3 linked regions of the Daphnia pulex genome follow. The protein of the gene in region 3 purifies or fractionates together with the protein of the main gene of each other region. This does not show direct contact. Links are inferred from orthologs where the notes say so. Each region holds a gene or a part of one and is shown on either strand. Other genes may lie near its edges. The genes, in order: translation initiation factor eIF-2B subunit gamma-like, translation initiation factor eIF-2B subunit epsilon-like and translation initiation factor eIF-2B subunit alpha-like.

Region 1 (5,286 bases), on a different chromosome or scaffold from region 3:
AAAGAAGACGGATTATAAATCAGTAAGTAAACAGACACTACGCATAGATTTAAAAAATAGTTAGTTGTATCTAAATCATGTCGCGGTATTCTTATACGCCTATAGACGATCCGGATTTAAGTAAATAAATAGACGTCGTTATTTTTTAAGAAGAAAAAGTTGAACCAACCGAGAACATTAAATAAGAAATAAAAACAAATTCTCGTTCAGCTTCGGGTTAGATTTTTTCTGCTTCGCGGTTAAAAAAGGATGTATCACTAGATGCACAATTTTAATACATCTTCTTCAGTTCAAGTTTAATCGTAATTAAAAAAATATTACTAGATATGTAATTAGCAAATTTTATTGTTTGTATACTTTCAACCAAAATTCAAGGAGATGTCTCGCAATTTAGGCATACCAACGGCCCACGCAAACAGCGCCTTTCAATTGTAAGGTATCGCCCGAAGGATTATCACCACTTATTAGTTAGTTATTTGAGAAAAACATCTCAAATAACTTAAACTCATATTTCCAAGAGCCGATCAGCATCAACCAAAACTTCGTTGGTAGATTTGCCTAAGTGCGAAGAATTGAAACGTGAGAATGGCAACCTTTTCTGTTTATCATTTAAAGTATAACTTACAGTTGCTATGTACGGTATGTCCCACTATGCAGTCTTTTAAATCGCAACTATTCTCAATTACCGAATTATCCATCAGAATGCTGCCTTGAAGAGTTGTTCTAAAAAGAAGACAATTCATATACGTTGTAGCAGAAAAATAAATAATCTCATCTTACTCTTTCATGATCGTAACGTTATCCATGATGATACAATTGGTAATCCTAACTTTTTCTCCAATATTGCAACCTTGACCAATAACCGAATGCTTAATAGAGCACTTGTCCGATAACTGACTCGTTTCACCAATAAGGCAATCAGTTCCCACCTATATTATAAAAAATGTTATAATGTTTATCCAACATTTAAAAGTTATAAGGGTCTTCGTTACTTGTGCTTTGGATACGGGTGGTGTGATTTCCTCATCAGGAAACATTGTATTCCATCTTTTAATAACCTAAATTTCATTTTAAATAATAATAATATCGTCGATCGATTCTAGTTAACAATTTCTTTCTTTACTTGTCGGTTGAGCTCACAATAGTTGCTCAGCGAGTTTGCACGTAGACAAAAGCCTTCCTTGGCCACATAAGCGAAACAGCGGATATTATGGTCTTGGTACGGGCCACGCAAATCACCACGATGATCATTCCAAACAGAGTAGCTCCTGATTTTCTCTTCCTCTTCGACATCAACAAGGAAGCTGCAAATATCTTTACAAAAAAAGAAATTATAATACTATTTAGACTTTAGACGTAGAGATTTCAAATTCTATTTATAGTGCCTCGATTTGTAGTATTTAAAGAAACGACCGAGACATCCGCATTGGGGAGTTCTTTTTCGTTTTTTTTCCTTTGAGTTTTTATAAACTGTTTTCGCACAAGATGAGGCAAGACCTCACCCTTCAGCATAGTGAATGACCTATGTTAAAAAATTGTTTGTTTTTATGATTTATCCATTAACGCGTAATATATTTAAATAACGGTGTGACTTACCGGTTTTCGGCAATGTAATCACAGACCCATTTCTTAATAACGTAGAGATGAGCGTCAAGCAAGTTACCTTGAACACTTATCTGTGGGAAATGTTTCATCACTGATTTTCGGATTGAGAGTTCCTCCTCGTTTTCTGAAGTCAAATCTGCTTCTGAGACTAAGAAAACCAGACGAGGTGTTTGCAGATCCAATCCAACCAAGTCCCTTTCTAAAATTTTAAGGGAAGTTTTATATTATTATTTGATGAATATACTATCATACATTTTTTGTTATTAAAAGTAATCTAGTGAATGCTGAAAGATATACCTTGCTTGAATTTTGTTTTGGGACCAGGCACTGCAGTTGACATTACTTCTGGAGAGGACTGGCTAAAAAGTGCAGTCACACTTGATTGATGAGTTCTGTGTAAGTCAAACACATTGTGCAATGGTATATCACATACCAAGTCACAACTAATGACCAGGACATCAGTCTGCAATTCGATTGGATTTAAAGGTATAGTATATGTGATAAAAATCTTGCATTATTAAAGATTTATACCTTGATTCGGTCTTTGACTAGTCTAAGAGAATCAGCTGTTCCAAAGTCTTCATTTTTTGGAAGACATGCTATATCCAGTTTGATGTTCAAACCATACTTGCTTGGAATAGCTGCAACTTCAGCTCGAAACTGTTCATGGATAACAACTATGACATCTAAAAAGTAGTCCTTGTCACATAAAAGTAACTTTATTCAAAACAAAAACTGAAATACCTTCAAAACCAGCATTTTCCAACATTTTTAATGAAAACCATATCATTGGTCTGTTGCATATTGGTAATAGACACTTGGGACGGTCATGAGTTAAATCTGTCATACGTGAACCCCTTCCAGCAGCCATTATTACTGCTTGGTACTCCATGATTAAAGAACACTAGAATACAAATATAAACTAATAAATAGCAAACATAGAGAGAATTAGAAAATAAAAGGATGATGCGTTTTGTATCTGTTAGCACATGGAAAGGTAACACAAACGGTGTTACAGAAACGCACAACACAAACATTTCTAACTAAAAAAAATCGAACCAAACGGAAAGTATGTACGGGTACCTTAATTTAATGAATCGTAATAAAATAATAGCAGATATTTAACCTCACGGTAGACAAAATTAAACACGTTTCGTAAACAGCTGTAAACAGCAAAACACTAAAACACTAGCTCAAATTCTCAAAATGCAGTGGGTAAAATGCGGGCACGATGCGGGTTTGAGGCGGTTTGGCCAAAATCGTGGAAACACCTCCATGGAAAGCTTAACTCCGCCCACAAAGAGGGAGGAGCCAATTTGCAATTATTCACGGTTTATTATCCTTTTTTCAGGATCCTGCGACTTATTACTTATTAGACTTGCTTGAATTACCAACAAATAAGCTCCTCCTCCTTCTACTCCGATAAAATATACAAATTTTAAGCCACGATTTATTTTTGTCGATATCTAAAAATGTGTTAAGTAAGATCAGAAATAACGAAACAAGACCCTTCCAGGTTCGCCCTCGGGTATTAACGTGCAAGATATCAGTTAAAAGCTTTTGCTTATATTTTCAAAACAATTAAAATGTAGGAATTTCGTAAGATTTTGTTTATTGTAATTTCCTGGATTTTTTTTCTTTATCATTTACGAAATAAATTTATTATTATTTTATCATTTATCATTTTACGAAATTCTTGAGTTAAACTCAGACAGTGGCCCAATTTCTCCATCACAAGGGCTGAGGTAAAAAGGCAACAGTTCAGGTTACAAGATCGAAGCCATATTTTAGGAAAAAAGTTTGAGGCAAGGCAACAATTCAGGGAAACAGATGGAGGCAACAATTCGAGAAAAAAGATGGAGGCAATTAGCTGCAGTCGATGTTTAAGGACGTCAAGTAATTAAGATCTTCAGACAATCAGTAAAAAAGGATTTGTTTACTGATTGTCTTTAAGCCACTCCCTCAGCTCCCTTTCATCAGGTATATCCGGGTTGATCTAAAGAGAATACACAAGAAAAAAAAATCCCGATGAAAAAAACTGCTGGAGAAATATTATTGAGTTTAAACTAACCATGATTACCGAATCATCGAAGGAGTCTAGGAATATTTCTCCACTATCGCGTGCGAATGCAGAAACCTTAACACCTCCAAATGCAACAATGGCGTTATCCAGGCTACTGAGCTGAAATAGCTTTAGCTTTGCGACTGAGTGCAGTACCCACGGCTGAAAAGTTCTTGTCCCTGCGAAAATAAATAACTTTAAAACTGTCGGAAGCAAAATTTGTCTGATTAAAAATTTCACCTCAAATCAGCGTAAAGCTCTTCGGCCGAGTTTAGAACAACAGATTTAACAGAGCTACCATCAGAGCGAGGTGACTGGCCCGCATTTGATGAGGCTTGAAAATTTTCTCCTGGAAGCTTGACTGTATCTAAATAACAATGAAACCACAAAATGCAAGTAAAATAATTGTTTTACTCAGAAGCTAACAATACTTTCTTACTATGTTTTATTCCATGGAATTCGTCGATAAGACCCTCATAGGTCAACTGAGTGACAACAGGAGTTATCAAATCTACAGTCCTATCAATGATCATGAGAGTGTCGAACAACGGAGACATGGGGGGATCACAGTCTACCCCAATATCACGTCGCATTCGAGTCATCAATTCGAATACGTTACGGGCATGGCGCCCCTTACCCACAACGTTGGGGAAAATGCCATATAAACTTTGGAGGGACATTAACCCATGAGCAATTTGGTGTAAGGAGCTGATTTCATTGTCAACATATAAATCCTGAGAATAAATTTGAAGAAATTGATGACAAGCAATCCCTTTCAAAGTTTGGCTCATAAATAAATACCTTGAAAACATTATCGAGTTCCATTGAAATGACATCACTATCTAGTGGGAAAAAATCAGCAGGCAGTTCATCAATAGAAGTAAGAGTTCCATACACTCCTTTGTCCTAAATGAAGTAATAATTTTGTCAACAATTTCTTCTTCGCTGATTTAAGTAACTTTAACCAACCTTGAGCCGCTGTTCACATACTGCACTTCGTCGGGAGACAAAAATTAACTGATATTCCTTACTAGCAGAATGTCCTTGGCTTTCTTCGCTGAAATGTAAATTAACTTATTGTTGACTATTTAAAGTTAAAATATGTAGATTATTCATACCTGTGCAAGTTATCGGCAATACAATCCATCAGCTCAACTTCAGGTCTTGTGATGAACAGCATATTTTTAACAGATATGGAAGGCAAGCGCCCAGGTTTTAACTGAAACATTTTTACAACATCTAGTTCCTTAAGAAAACTGTATTCTGCCACCAAACCAATGGGGCCAGTGAGTTGTTCATCCCAAAATATTGCCTAGCATAATTGATGAATTTACGTACATTTCTTAAATGGAATAGCACACACCAAAATACCTTTGTTCCACTGAACTTCTCTAAAAGAGAAACAATATCCTGTAACAATAACAAAACTGTTGACGAAATTTATTTTTACTGAACAAGACATCAACAGACTGTCAACAGACAACCTAATGGATTTTGTGGTTGTCCTAAGTCACAAAAAGCTAATGACTAAATCCGCATAAAATAAAATAAAATTTAGTATCACCAATGCTCATCTTCTCCTGTCCTTAACTTTCTTTCTGAAACAGACACGTGCACAT
Region 2 (5,326 bases), on a different chromosome or scaffold from region 3:
CCAGGTCTTTGTGGTACATGTCTAATCCCACAAATCAATTTGTCCCAACAAAACTTTCTCCAGCATTCAAACATACTCCCCTGAGCCCTTCCTGCCCATGTGGAGAATGCAGAGGAGTTCATACAAGAGGTAATACATTTTAACCATTTCACGTCACATTTAAATACAGCATAATATATGTTGCATCATAGGGGACAAAGAGCTGATTGAGTTCCTCTCAGAGGAAATTGCTGCTGAGAAGAAGGGAATGAGCAAAGCCAGGCCTGTCGCTAACTTGGATGGATTTGATGTTAAACACAATGGTTCAGAGATAGTATTGTCTAAGAAATTTAATGATGAACAGTGAGTAAATCTTTATGGGACAATTCTAAATTGAAACTTGTGGCTTAATTTTATTCATTAAACAGAATTGAGATAACAGTTAACGTCAACCATTCTGTTGATGCTGACATCAGTGAGGAAGTTGACAACAAAGCTGACAATCCTCCCCAGGCTGAAATGAAATCAAAACCACACTTTGAAGTCAAACTAATGAAGGGAAATCAAGTAACCAGATTTGCCTGCAGTTACATTCAAGATGCAGGAGAGCCTGTTGAAGATGCCCCAAGTAAGTGTTAATTGTATTTGAATAGCCAACAATATAAATAACACTCGATTTTTTCAGATGACATTTTCACTATTGATGAACTTGCAGTATATGAGGACAAACATAATGATCAGACTTATGCTGTCGCTGGAGACATTCTTGATGGGGTATATTTTAAAGTCAACAATATTTTAACCAAATTAAACTGATATTTCACATTTTCGTTATAGTACATGTACGACCTTCTGATGAATCTGCTCGAAGAACGAGGAGTATCCAACGAATTTGCTGAAAAGCTGAGCGATCTAGCTACCAAGCGGGAACACCATCTATTTATTAATTTGTTAGAGAGCCTTCAGTCTTTTGTCCAAGGCAAATGAAAGGTTTAGAATAGTTTTGAGATGAAAAATAAAAAGCTATGTAGTCATTTTGTTTAAAATGCTGATTTATTATTTATGGTTTTCCAAAACAATGGTTATTTAGAACCATCAGGGGTCTTAAATTCATTTTCAGTCCCCATTACTTCTTTTTCTATTTCTTTAAGGTCAATATTCTGTTCCTGGATTGCTTTCTAAAACAGAAAAGAGTAGATAAACATCTATAAAAGACAGAAATGTTGGACCAAAATTAACTTACCCTAACACATTCACGATACACCTTAAAGAAAGGACCACATGAGTCTGTTGAATGATCCCCTCTTAAGAATTTTTCTGTGAACCATGTGTTGAAACATGCATCATAATTTTGCTTCAATTGGCTACAGGCTTCACTTACACTATTCATGGTACAAATTTAACCTAGAAAAATAAAAATACAATAATCAATTAACATACTTTAAGAGCTTTGTGTGTCCCACACTTGTACCTTTGAACTGTAGATGAAGATTGGGCAGGATAAGCAGAGATCATTAACAAATTAGAGCACTTTTCTTGATTGAAAATTTATTCAACACGGTTGTAATTTCAATTAAAACCGGTCCTCAAAACATATTATGTACTAGGTAGTTTACAGCATTATCAAATCATGTGTACTTTGATTCGATCGTCTGCTCCATTGAGATAGCCTAGCGGCGAAAGAAAGTAACTTTTGTAGCAGACAATATTTTGCATCATTTCTCATTACCATAATCCCATTCCCTTCCTGCAATTCCTTGAATTTGGACGAGCTCACATGTGGACACTATTTATTACAGCTGTTGTAAATTATAAGAAATACTTTTCTTTGCCACAAGAGAATTGAAATACTGAATTAAAGAATGAGCTCCAATAAAACTTCCAAATCAATGTCCAAGTCCGGTTCTGAAGTTCTTAAACAAGAAGATGTTGTTCTTGCTGTTCTAATCGCTGATAGTTTTTCAATACGCTTCGCACCTGTAACTGATTCAAAACCGAAGGTGAAGATCCTACAATTAGATTTTTTAACGTTGAGGACACATATAACTGTTTAACTATTATTACATCAGGCACTTCTTCCGCTGGTCAATAGGCCCATGATTGACTATGCCTTGGAATCTCTACTTCTTAGTGGAGTACAGAAAACCTTTGTTTACTGTGTTGCACATGCTGATCAAATTCGTCAGTACCTCAAAGAATCTAAATGGATGAGATCTGTGTCTCCTATGTCCATTGAAGTTATTTCTCAAAGCCCTGATGACTGTCGATCTCTTGGAGATTCCCTTCGAGACATAGATGGAAAGTCATTGATAAGAGGAGACTTTATATTGATGTCTGCTGATGTCATTTCTAATGTACAGCTCATACCCATATTAGAAGAGCACAGGTAAATTGTAACATCTCTATAAAGTTGTAATCAAATCCATATCAAGTTTTTATTTTGATTTCATGCACTCTTTAATAGAGAAAAGAGGAAAACTGATAAAGGGATTGTCATGACACACATTTTTAAGAAATCTTTCCCGGGTCATCGATCCCGTTCTGCAGAAGAAGAACTCGTCTTAGCCATCAATCCCACCAACGGTCGTATTCTCAATTACCAGCAAACAACAAACCTGAAGAAGCTCAGTTTTCCTTTGGTGAGTTTCTGCTTTCAGTGTTTCGAAACCAACGATTCTTATTGATTTTCATATCAAATCTACAGGAAATGTTTAAAGAGCACGGTCTTGTTGATTTGCGCTATGATTTGGTTGATACGCACATTTCTATTTGTTCTCCCGTGGTTTTGCCGCTTTTTTCCGACAATTTCGATTACCAAACGTGGGGAGATTTTGTCCGAGGTATTCTCATCAACGAAGAAATTCTTAATAATACCATCTACTACCATCAGTTGGAAGGATCATACGCGGCACATGTTTCGAACGTTCCCATGTATGATGCTGTGAGGTAAGGAACACTTTCCAACATTTTAAATTCTACTCATCAAGTAACGAAAATGTTTATTTTTACAGCAAAGATGTTATTCAACGATGGGCATTTCCGCTTGTTCCCGATTTGAATCGGAGTGAAACAACTCCTCGACACACTTTATCACGTCACAATGTTTACAAGCAGCCTGGTGTCACCTTGGCCAAGTACACAATAACCTTTTCTCTTTTTTATTTCCATGTTACCATGATAACACCCTATTTGCGAAATAGGGAAAGTGTTTTGGAAAGGGACGTGGCGGTAGGAGAAAACTCTAAAATAGGAGAACGCACATTCGTCACCCAGTCCGTCATTGGCAGCCGTTGCACAATCGGAAACGACGTGTACATCAATAATGCTTATATTTGGGACGATGTTAACATCAAGGTTAGACCCAGCGAAAATTTTATTTTTGATAAATAATCAAACAATTTGCTTTTAATTAGAACAACTGCCACATTGAAGTAGCTCTCATCGCCGATGGTGTTGTGTTAAATGAAGGAGTCAAAATCGGCCGAGGCTGTGTCATTGGACCCGGAGTAGTTTTAGCTGCCGGTACCAAAATCCCTGACAATACTCGCCTCATGGCCCATCCTCCCAAATGTGATAACGACTTTGAAACATCGGACGAAGAAGATGGTAATGCAAACTTGAATACGTATGTCTATTAATTTAAATATAGTTACATTGGTATTTTTGTTTCCCCTTTTAGATAAGGTAGCTAAACCGTTTAGTGCCGATAGTGTCGCTTACGTTTATCAACGACCCGTCGAAGAAGATTCCGATGCAGAGTCTTTGATTGATGAATTATGGGGCTTGGACATTGATGAAGATTCAGAAAGTGAAGAAGATGAAGACGAAGACGAAGCTGATAACGACGAAGATGAAGAACACGAAGAAGAAGTGGACGTGGGCGACCTGCCAGAGGATATGAATGCTAGATGTAAGTTGCCTATGTGAACCTAAAAAATTAATTTACTAATTTGTTGAATTTTTCTATAGCATTTTATAATGAAGTCTTGGAGAGTCTTCAAAGAGGCTACGAAGAAAAAATCAAGGGTGACAACTTGGTTCTTGAAATTAACTCGTCCAAATACGCTTATAACGTTACCATGAAAGAGGTGAACATGCTCGTTATCAAAGCTATGCTTTCGTTGCCATCCGTCATGACTAAGGTAAACTTTAACGGCGAATCTTTTTGTATTAGATGTTTGATTGAAATTTGGTTGGCTTTTACAGAAGGCCGCCACTGGCACCAACGAAGATTGGGTCGCTCTAAGGCCGATATTGCAGCACTTTCTTCCTGTCATGAGAAATTACTTGAAAAACAATCAGTCGATGTTGGATTCTCTCGAGGCTCTGGAAGAATTTGGAGTTCATAACTCCCATTTTGTGAAATCTATTTGTAAAGTTCTCCATTTTTTGTACGGCGAGGACGTGTTGAGTGAGGACGCAATTTTGGAGTGGTACACCAATCCACCGAACGATCCCAGTGCATTGAAAACTATCCGGAAAACTGTACGTCTTAATTTCTTGAAAAGTTGACTTGATCCTTGGCCTGTTATTAACTTGTTTGTGTTTTGAAACAGGTGGAACCATTTATTACATGGCTGGAAGAAGCGGAAGAGGAATCATCGGAGGAATCGGATTGATAAGTCGCACTTGAATTTGTCCTGGTTTCTGAGAGCTGTAACAAATATCGAATTTATTGAAGTATATCTTTTTTCACAATTTATATGTCACTACTTCACATTTACTTGGATAACCATTGAAAATTACAGGCGTTGGTCACATAAGTAATAAGTGTAATGGTGGCGTATTTAAGAGTAACCGATTCAGTTCATGTCGTGAAAGAAACCAATTTTGAAAATCCTTTCGTAGTTCCAAATGGGTTAAATCGTAAAGAAAAAGGACGTACAAAATTATTTTAACGGATGCATTTATTTGAGAAATTTTGTGATTAACCGGTAAATGGAAATGCTCATCAAATGAAGACGTTGGAATGTGGGATGGAAAGAAAGCAATCCAAACCAAACGATTATCCATTTAAATCTTTTTCTTGTTTGCTGGTAAATTCATTCTCCAAATGGTGAAGGTGAGTAGCGAAGCGAAGCTCACCCAGACCAAGTAGGGCATCATCAAGTAAGAAGCCGTTTCGTTGACAGATTTAAAAGTGTAGACACAAGAAGCGATGCCGATAAGCAGAGCGATGACTTCGTAGAATGCCTGGAAATAGATAAGTCGGTAACAAAAACTAAAACTCTTTTTTTTTTAATACTTTTAAATTGAATAAATACCCATTCCAGATTGTGATAATAGAAGAAGATGAACGACCAAGCATAGTTGAGGACGAGTTGAATGGCGAAGAGGGTGAGTGGCA
Region 3 (4,695 bases):
GTGTACGAGTCCTATGTAGTGGCGTGTTTGATATGAAACAATTTTCTTGTTGACTGCTGCAAAATCTGGTAAGCTCTTTAGAAACTTTACATCTTCAGATTTCAATCGGCCTGTTTCAATTTGCACTCTTCCCTTCAAGACATCTTTAAGCTTACTCTTTGCATCTAAATAGGCTTCTCTTCTCTTTTTGTATTCTTCATTCCACAGCAACTTCTCATTCTTCAGTTGTTTTGTGGCTGATCTTGTTCGTTTCTCAAATTTCTGATGAGCTTTATCTCCAGTAGAAACTAGAACTTTGTTTAGAATGTCTTCAATGTTATCCCGTAGCCTTTCTGAATAGGCAGCAACAGCATCTTGCTCTTTTTCTAAGGCATTAAACTTCATTTCCTTCAGGGTATGATTCAGACATAGTTCTGTTATTTTATGTTTCTTCCCAGAAGGAGGTAGGGATGAGTCTACCGCAGCACAAGCAGCTGTAAAAACTTCATAGTGAACAAATTGACAAACAATATCCACAACATTTCATTACCTCGAAAAGTTGAACCAGAACCACCACCAGTAATACTTCTGTTAAGACTTGGTCTCCTCTTTATGAAGTCATCAATGTTGTTTCTTTCTCTTGGAAATTTCTCCGGAATGTGGTCTTTATTTGGCTCATTTAACATCTTTTTCCTCACAGTTTTCTGTAGTTGTCTCAATTAAACTTTGTTATTATTCCCTAATTTTGATTGTTAAAAAGTTAGAGCTAAATTAGCACCAACGCTAACAACTTCAACGGTTTCCAATTTGAAGTGCATCGTTCGAAACGCCACCTTGCGACAGATGACCTTACTGCATGTTATATTTTCCACACGCGCAGGAAAATGTCTAAAATCACAAAAAAAGTGACATGAACGTGTATTTTATTTACACATTTATCGATGTTTTTATATTTAGACGACTCTCTTTCATAGATAAAGTTTAATTAATTCATCACTGACGGCTGATGGAGTGAGAATTCCCAAATCTGTGAAAAGCAAAGTCAAATATCCTGGTGGCGTGTAATCAACTTGAGGATGCTGATCGAGAAGATTAGAATGATTGGATTCAATAATAGTTGACGAGAACTAAAAAAATTCAACACAAGTTTCAGCATTATGGAAAATTGGTTAAAAAATTTAACATACTTTCAGTTCTTGGGGTAAATCGCGTTGGTTCAGCGGGTAGAGACGGACAAATTTGAAGCTCTCAGCGAGAACGTAAAAGGGTTTGTGCATTTCCTTGGCACACAGCGCCATAGTATATGTTCCAATCTATTTCAATAAATTTTTCAATTTTTTTAAATAGTCAAATAAATATATTTTATCCGTACCTTATTGATAATGCCTCCGCTTTCAACAACACCTTCAGCTCCAACAAGCACTAAATCCACTGATTCCATGACATAACCCATGGCCGAATCCAAAATGAGAGTCGAACCAATACTGTGTTTCAATAGCTCGTCTCTCATAGCGACACCACTTAGATCCGGGTGAGATTCAGTGATGAAAACATGGAAACGTTTTTTGGATATAACAGCTGCTTCAACTAGTGTTTGTAGAACCACTCTTGATTTGGAGTGAGTGAGGATTTTGTGTCCATCAAGAATAAAAGGAGCCCCTAGTCTTGCAATTTTAGGTCTAGCCTCTTGTAATTTCCTTAGAAAAATTTCTCCTCGTTTCTTCATAATCTCCTTGCAATCTTTGAAATTCTAAAAAGAATGTTTTATTTTAAATCTATTAAAAATTTATGATTCATATTTATAGACAACATACTGATTGTTCAAGAGAAGTAAGTGTGATAAACCGTTGAAACAGTTCACAGCCTGATTGAACTGATGTAATTGAGCATTCAGCTTTCTTCATTTCTTCTGTTGCTTTTCTCAGTTCTTCCGACAATCCACGAAGAGTTTCACCTGTGAATATGATAGTCTTTAATGTTGATAATGATTATGCTTATAGATATTATTTTGTTTTTACTAACCATCACCAAAGTTTTCCAATATATTCATTAATGTGCGGATAGCTGCAACAGCTGCTGAAACATCCGGCTCTTCTTTCACAATTTTTTGGAAAAAATCCAATACATTTCCTAAAAGCACATTGATTACATTAGTTTTTTTATTAACATTATTTAATAACTAAACCTACTTGTATTTTCCATTTTATACTTATATCTTTTTTGCGCACTAGTAAACTTTTTTCCTCTCTACTTAACTTGGAGTTTCAGCTAGAAGAGCAGCACAGCAGCTTGCCAGCTTGCCACCGTTCCAGCAGCAGACGACACAATGAAAAGTCAACACTCCAGTCAGTCAAAACACTTGAGTACTGTACTTGTTTCTGATTGGCCCTCACCGATTAGTCCCAGGGAAGGATCTGCCGAGAGCCCTAGATTGATATGTCCATTATGTCACACGCAACCGCAAACATTCATAAACTGCTGTTATCGTTTGATGAAAGAAGAATACTTAAGTCATTCTATTCTTTTCACATTCCGCGTTAAAAACAAAAATGTCGTCGTCAACGTTGCCATTCTTCATCGTGCATGCACACAGGTACGGGTAGGGTAGCACCGGTAGCACGACCGACGAGCGACGACCGCACGGCGCACGAGATATCTGTCGAAAGTGAAATAAACGTTCATTTTGCATTTTTTTTTTTATTTTTTTAACCATAGTTTATTTCAAGATTTTGTGAATTTGTCAGATGAAAACCACCCGAAACATTTTAGACAAGGTGCAATTTTAGGTGCTTTGCTTCAAAACAAAGTGGTGTGTAAATAAAAGTAAGATTATTGGAACTTTTTGTTGTCTTATCCATTCAATTAAACTAATTTAAACAATCATTCCTCTTTTTCATATTCCACATAGGAAGGAGAGCAGGATGTACGAGGAAACCAACCGCGCAGTGCTCGGCGCTCAGTTGGATTCATTTGAACTTGACCCCTTTCTTGAATTTCGCCGTAAAGCCAATATCTGATTAAAGGACAATTATAAAAGTTTTGAAAGGCAAAAATTTCTTGTTGGAAGTTGTTTTTATCATACTTTTTCCATCGAGTAACCGCCACCTTATCTCCAATCTGCAGAGAGATGCGTGTCTCGTCGGTGTATGGTGGCTGAAGACAAACCATAATGCCGAAACTAATAATAGGGAACCACCTTCCACTGTATGCTTTCTCTACTACGTATTCTACGCAGCGTTCCCTTTTAATCTTTTTCTGTTCAATTTGTTCAATCTGTCAAAAATGAATAAATAGCTATAAAAGGTAGAAAATCTATAGAACTATGCATAGGATTATACCGTGAAAGCGTATGGATGGCAATTGTCCCGGACTTTCCACTCGATGCCATCACCTTTAGGCTGGAAAGAGAAATTTATTACTTCAACCAGATTCTTTCGCCATCCTAAATTGTAGGGGTGAATGAAAGAGGGTTCATCGGTTCCTTCTCGACGATAAACAGCTTTTTCATGAACCCAGTCTTCAATGCCTGTTTGATTTCTTAAAACCACTTTCATCTATGAAAGAATCAATCACTTTTAGGTTAAATAAAGAACATATAATCCAAAGAAATTCAAACCTGGACAAAAAATAGAAAACCAACAGCAAACACTACTCCGGCTGCTAATCCTAAGGAAATCAGACTCATCACAAAAGGCCATAGTCCCAATATTATAAAAGGCACTTCTCGTAGATTTGAATGGTCGTAGTAATCAAATGTCTATTTTTAAACAATATGATTCGTTTTTAAATTGTTTGTAACAAGCATACAAATTTTAGATTTAGCCAACCGGGTGAAGAGCTCTGTACATGGTGCATGAAATTATTACGATGGCTTGGGCGCATCCAATAACAGCGGAAATGAGGAATGCTAACGAAACAATGGTGATTTATGAAACATAATATGAATGATTAGGTATTATTACCAAGAAAGTTGGTGTGATTGAAATGTCCAAGGCAGTTATTTATAAATATGCAGTGATGATCACGTTTCATAATACATCTATTGCCTGTGAAAGAGGAATTTGTCATCAAACAGAAGAGTAATTATTTTTATTGGGATACATTTTCTACAGTGATGAGATCTTGGTGCTTTGTATCCTTGGCACACAGTGCAGTACTGTAAAAACTGAGTATCCTCTTCCCTGGTCTAAATAAGTACAATGTGTTAGTTGATCTTAAAACTGTTAAACCTATTCAAACTAAACAAATTTTACCGGTTTCCAGTTTAGAGGTAAGTATCCTGGACCAACATGTAGTGAATATAGAAAATTGTAGAATGTTGATGCACTTAATGAGAGAAAAATAGCAGCATTTATAAATCCAGGCCAAGAGTGGTAAGGAGGCCACCACATGGAGTTGCAATGAATTGTTGACCAAACAATAGATTTAATTACACCTGTGAGAGAAATGGTTATAAAAACAACAGTAAAGCTTATTGATCCTCAACAGAAGTTCTACCGATAGTAAAAAGCGGTCCTATGTGAATTACGTTACTCCAGCCCATGACACACTCAACTCAGTTGTTACTTCACTCAAGTAACCTATGTAAAACTTCACAGGAGTTGTTGCTAAGGGCTACCAAAAATTCACAGGAAGGATCACTAAACAAGAAAATTGTAATTAGAGATTTTATGACCAAAAATTTAGAATTGTAAAGTTTTGTCACTTGCAAAATGA

The links.
Region 1: the proteins of translation initiation factor eIF-2B subunit alpha-like (region 3) and translation initiation factor eIF-2B subunit gamma-like purify together in Homo sapiens (affinity purification with mass spectrometry; 7 studies listed by BioGRID and IntAct, counting the BioPlex papers as one, with this or other methods). This does not show direct contact. The link is inferred for Daphnia pulex from reciprocal best matches to the Homo sapiens genes EIF2B1 and EIF2B3.
Region 2: the proteins of translation initiation factor eIF-2B subunit alpha-like (region 3) and translation initiation factor eIF-2B subunit epsilon-like purify together in Homo sapiens (affinity purification with mass spectrometry; 7 studies listed by BioGRID and IntAct, counting the BioPlex papers as one, with this or other methods). This does not show direct contact. The link is inferred for Daphnia pulex from reciprocal best matches to the Homo sapiens genes EIF2B1 and EIF2B5.

The regions. Positions count from the first base shown.
Region 1 is NC_060019.1:11,425,316-11,430,601, reverse strand, and holds translation initiation factor eIF-2B subunit gamma-like, read right to left. Parts: upstream 2,847-5,286; 5' UTR 2,732-2,846; exon of another isoform or gene 2,689-2,731; intron 2,528-2,688; exon of another isoform or gene 2,510-2,527; 5' UTR 2,498-2,509; coding exon 2,350-2,497; intron 2,292-2,349; coding exon 2,137-2,291; intron 2,069-2,136; coding exon 1,903-2,068; intron 1,805-1,902; coding exon 1,597-1,804; intron 1,523-1,596; coding exon 1,386-1,522; intron 1,315-1,385; coding exon 1,124-1,314; intron 1,059-1,123; coding exon 993-1,058; intron 930-992; coding exon 781-929; intron 724-780; coding exon 626-723; intron 559-625; coding exon 506-558; 3' UTR 328-505; downstream 1-327. Other genes in the region: vacuolar protein sorting-associated protein 33A-like, read right to left, coding at 3,780-3,846, 3,908-4,034, 4,107-4,401, 4,469-4,573, 4,637-4,724, 4,786-4,895. UniProt on the Homo sapiens protein: Acts as a component of the translation initiation factor 2B (eIF2B) complex, which catalyzes the exchange of GDP for GTP on the eukaryotic initiation factor 2 (eIF2) complex gamma subunit.
Region 2 is NC_060026.1:13,822,177-13,827,502, forward strand, and holds translation initiation factor eIF-2B subunit epsilon-like, read left to right. Parts: upstream 1-1,669; 5' UTR 1,670-1,841; coding exon 1,842-1,979; intron 1,980-2,048; coding exon 2,049-2,365; intron 2,366-2,443; coding exon 2,444-2,618; intron 2,619-2,683; coding exon 2,684-2,925; intron 2,926-2,990; coding exon 2,991-3,113; intron 3,114-3,179; coding exon 3,180-3,333; intron 3,334-3,392; coding exon 3,393-3,585; intron 3,586-3,658; coding exon 3,659-3,889; intron 3,890-3,948; coding exon 3,949-4,121; intron 4,122-4,185; coding exon 4,186-4,464; intron 4,465-4,535; coding exon 4,536-4,598; 3' UTR 4,599-4,681; downstream 4,682-5,326. Other genes in the region: complement component 1 Q subcomponent-binding protein, mitochondrial-like, read left to right, coding at 1-129, 192-342, 408-607, 665-753, 817-966; translocator protein-like, read right to left, coding at 4,993-5,172, 5,244-5,326. UniProt on the Homo sapiens protein: Acts as a component of the translation initiation factor 2B (eIF2B) complex, which catalyzes the exchange of GDP for GTP on eukaryotic initiation factor 2 (eIF2) gamma subunit.
Region 3 is NC_060023.1:2,530,412-2,535,106, reverse strand, and holds translation initiation factor eIF-2B subunit alpha-like, read right to left. Parts: upstream 2,533-4,695; 5' UTR 2,182-2,532; coding exon 2,169-2,181; intron 2,110-2,168; coding exon 2,002-2,109; intron 1,934-2,001; coding exon 1,794-1,933; intron 1,730-1,793; coding exon 1,352-1,729; intron 1,293-1,351; coding exon 1,167-1,292; intron 1,107-1,166; coding exon 948-1,106; 3' UTR 881-947; downstream 1-880. Other genes in the region: uncharacterized protein LOC124198557, read right to left, coding at 1-473, 530-665; palmitoyltransferase ZDHHC6-like, read right to left, coding at 2,860-2,992, 3,062-3,252, 3,318-3,533, 3,596-3,736, 3,807-3,886, 3,942-4,025, 4,081-4,165, 4,233-4,414 and 1 more.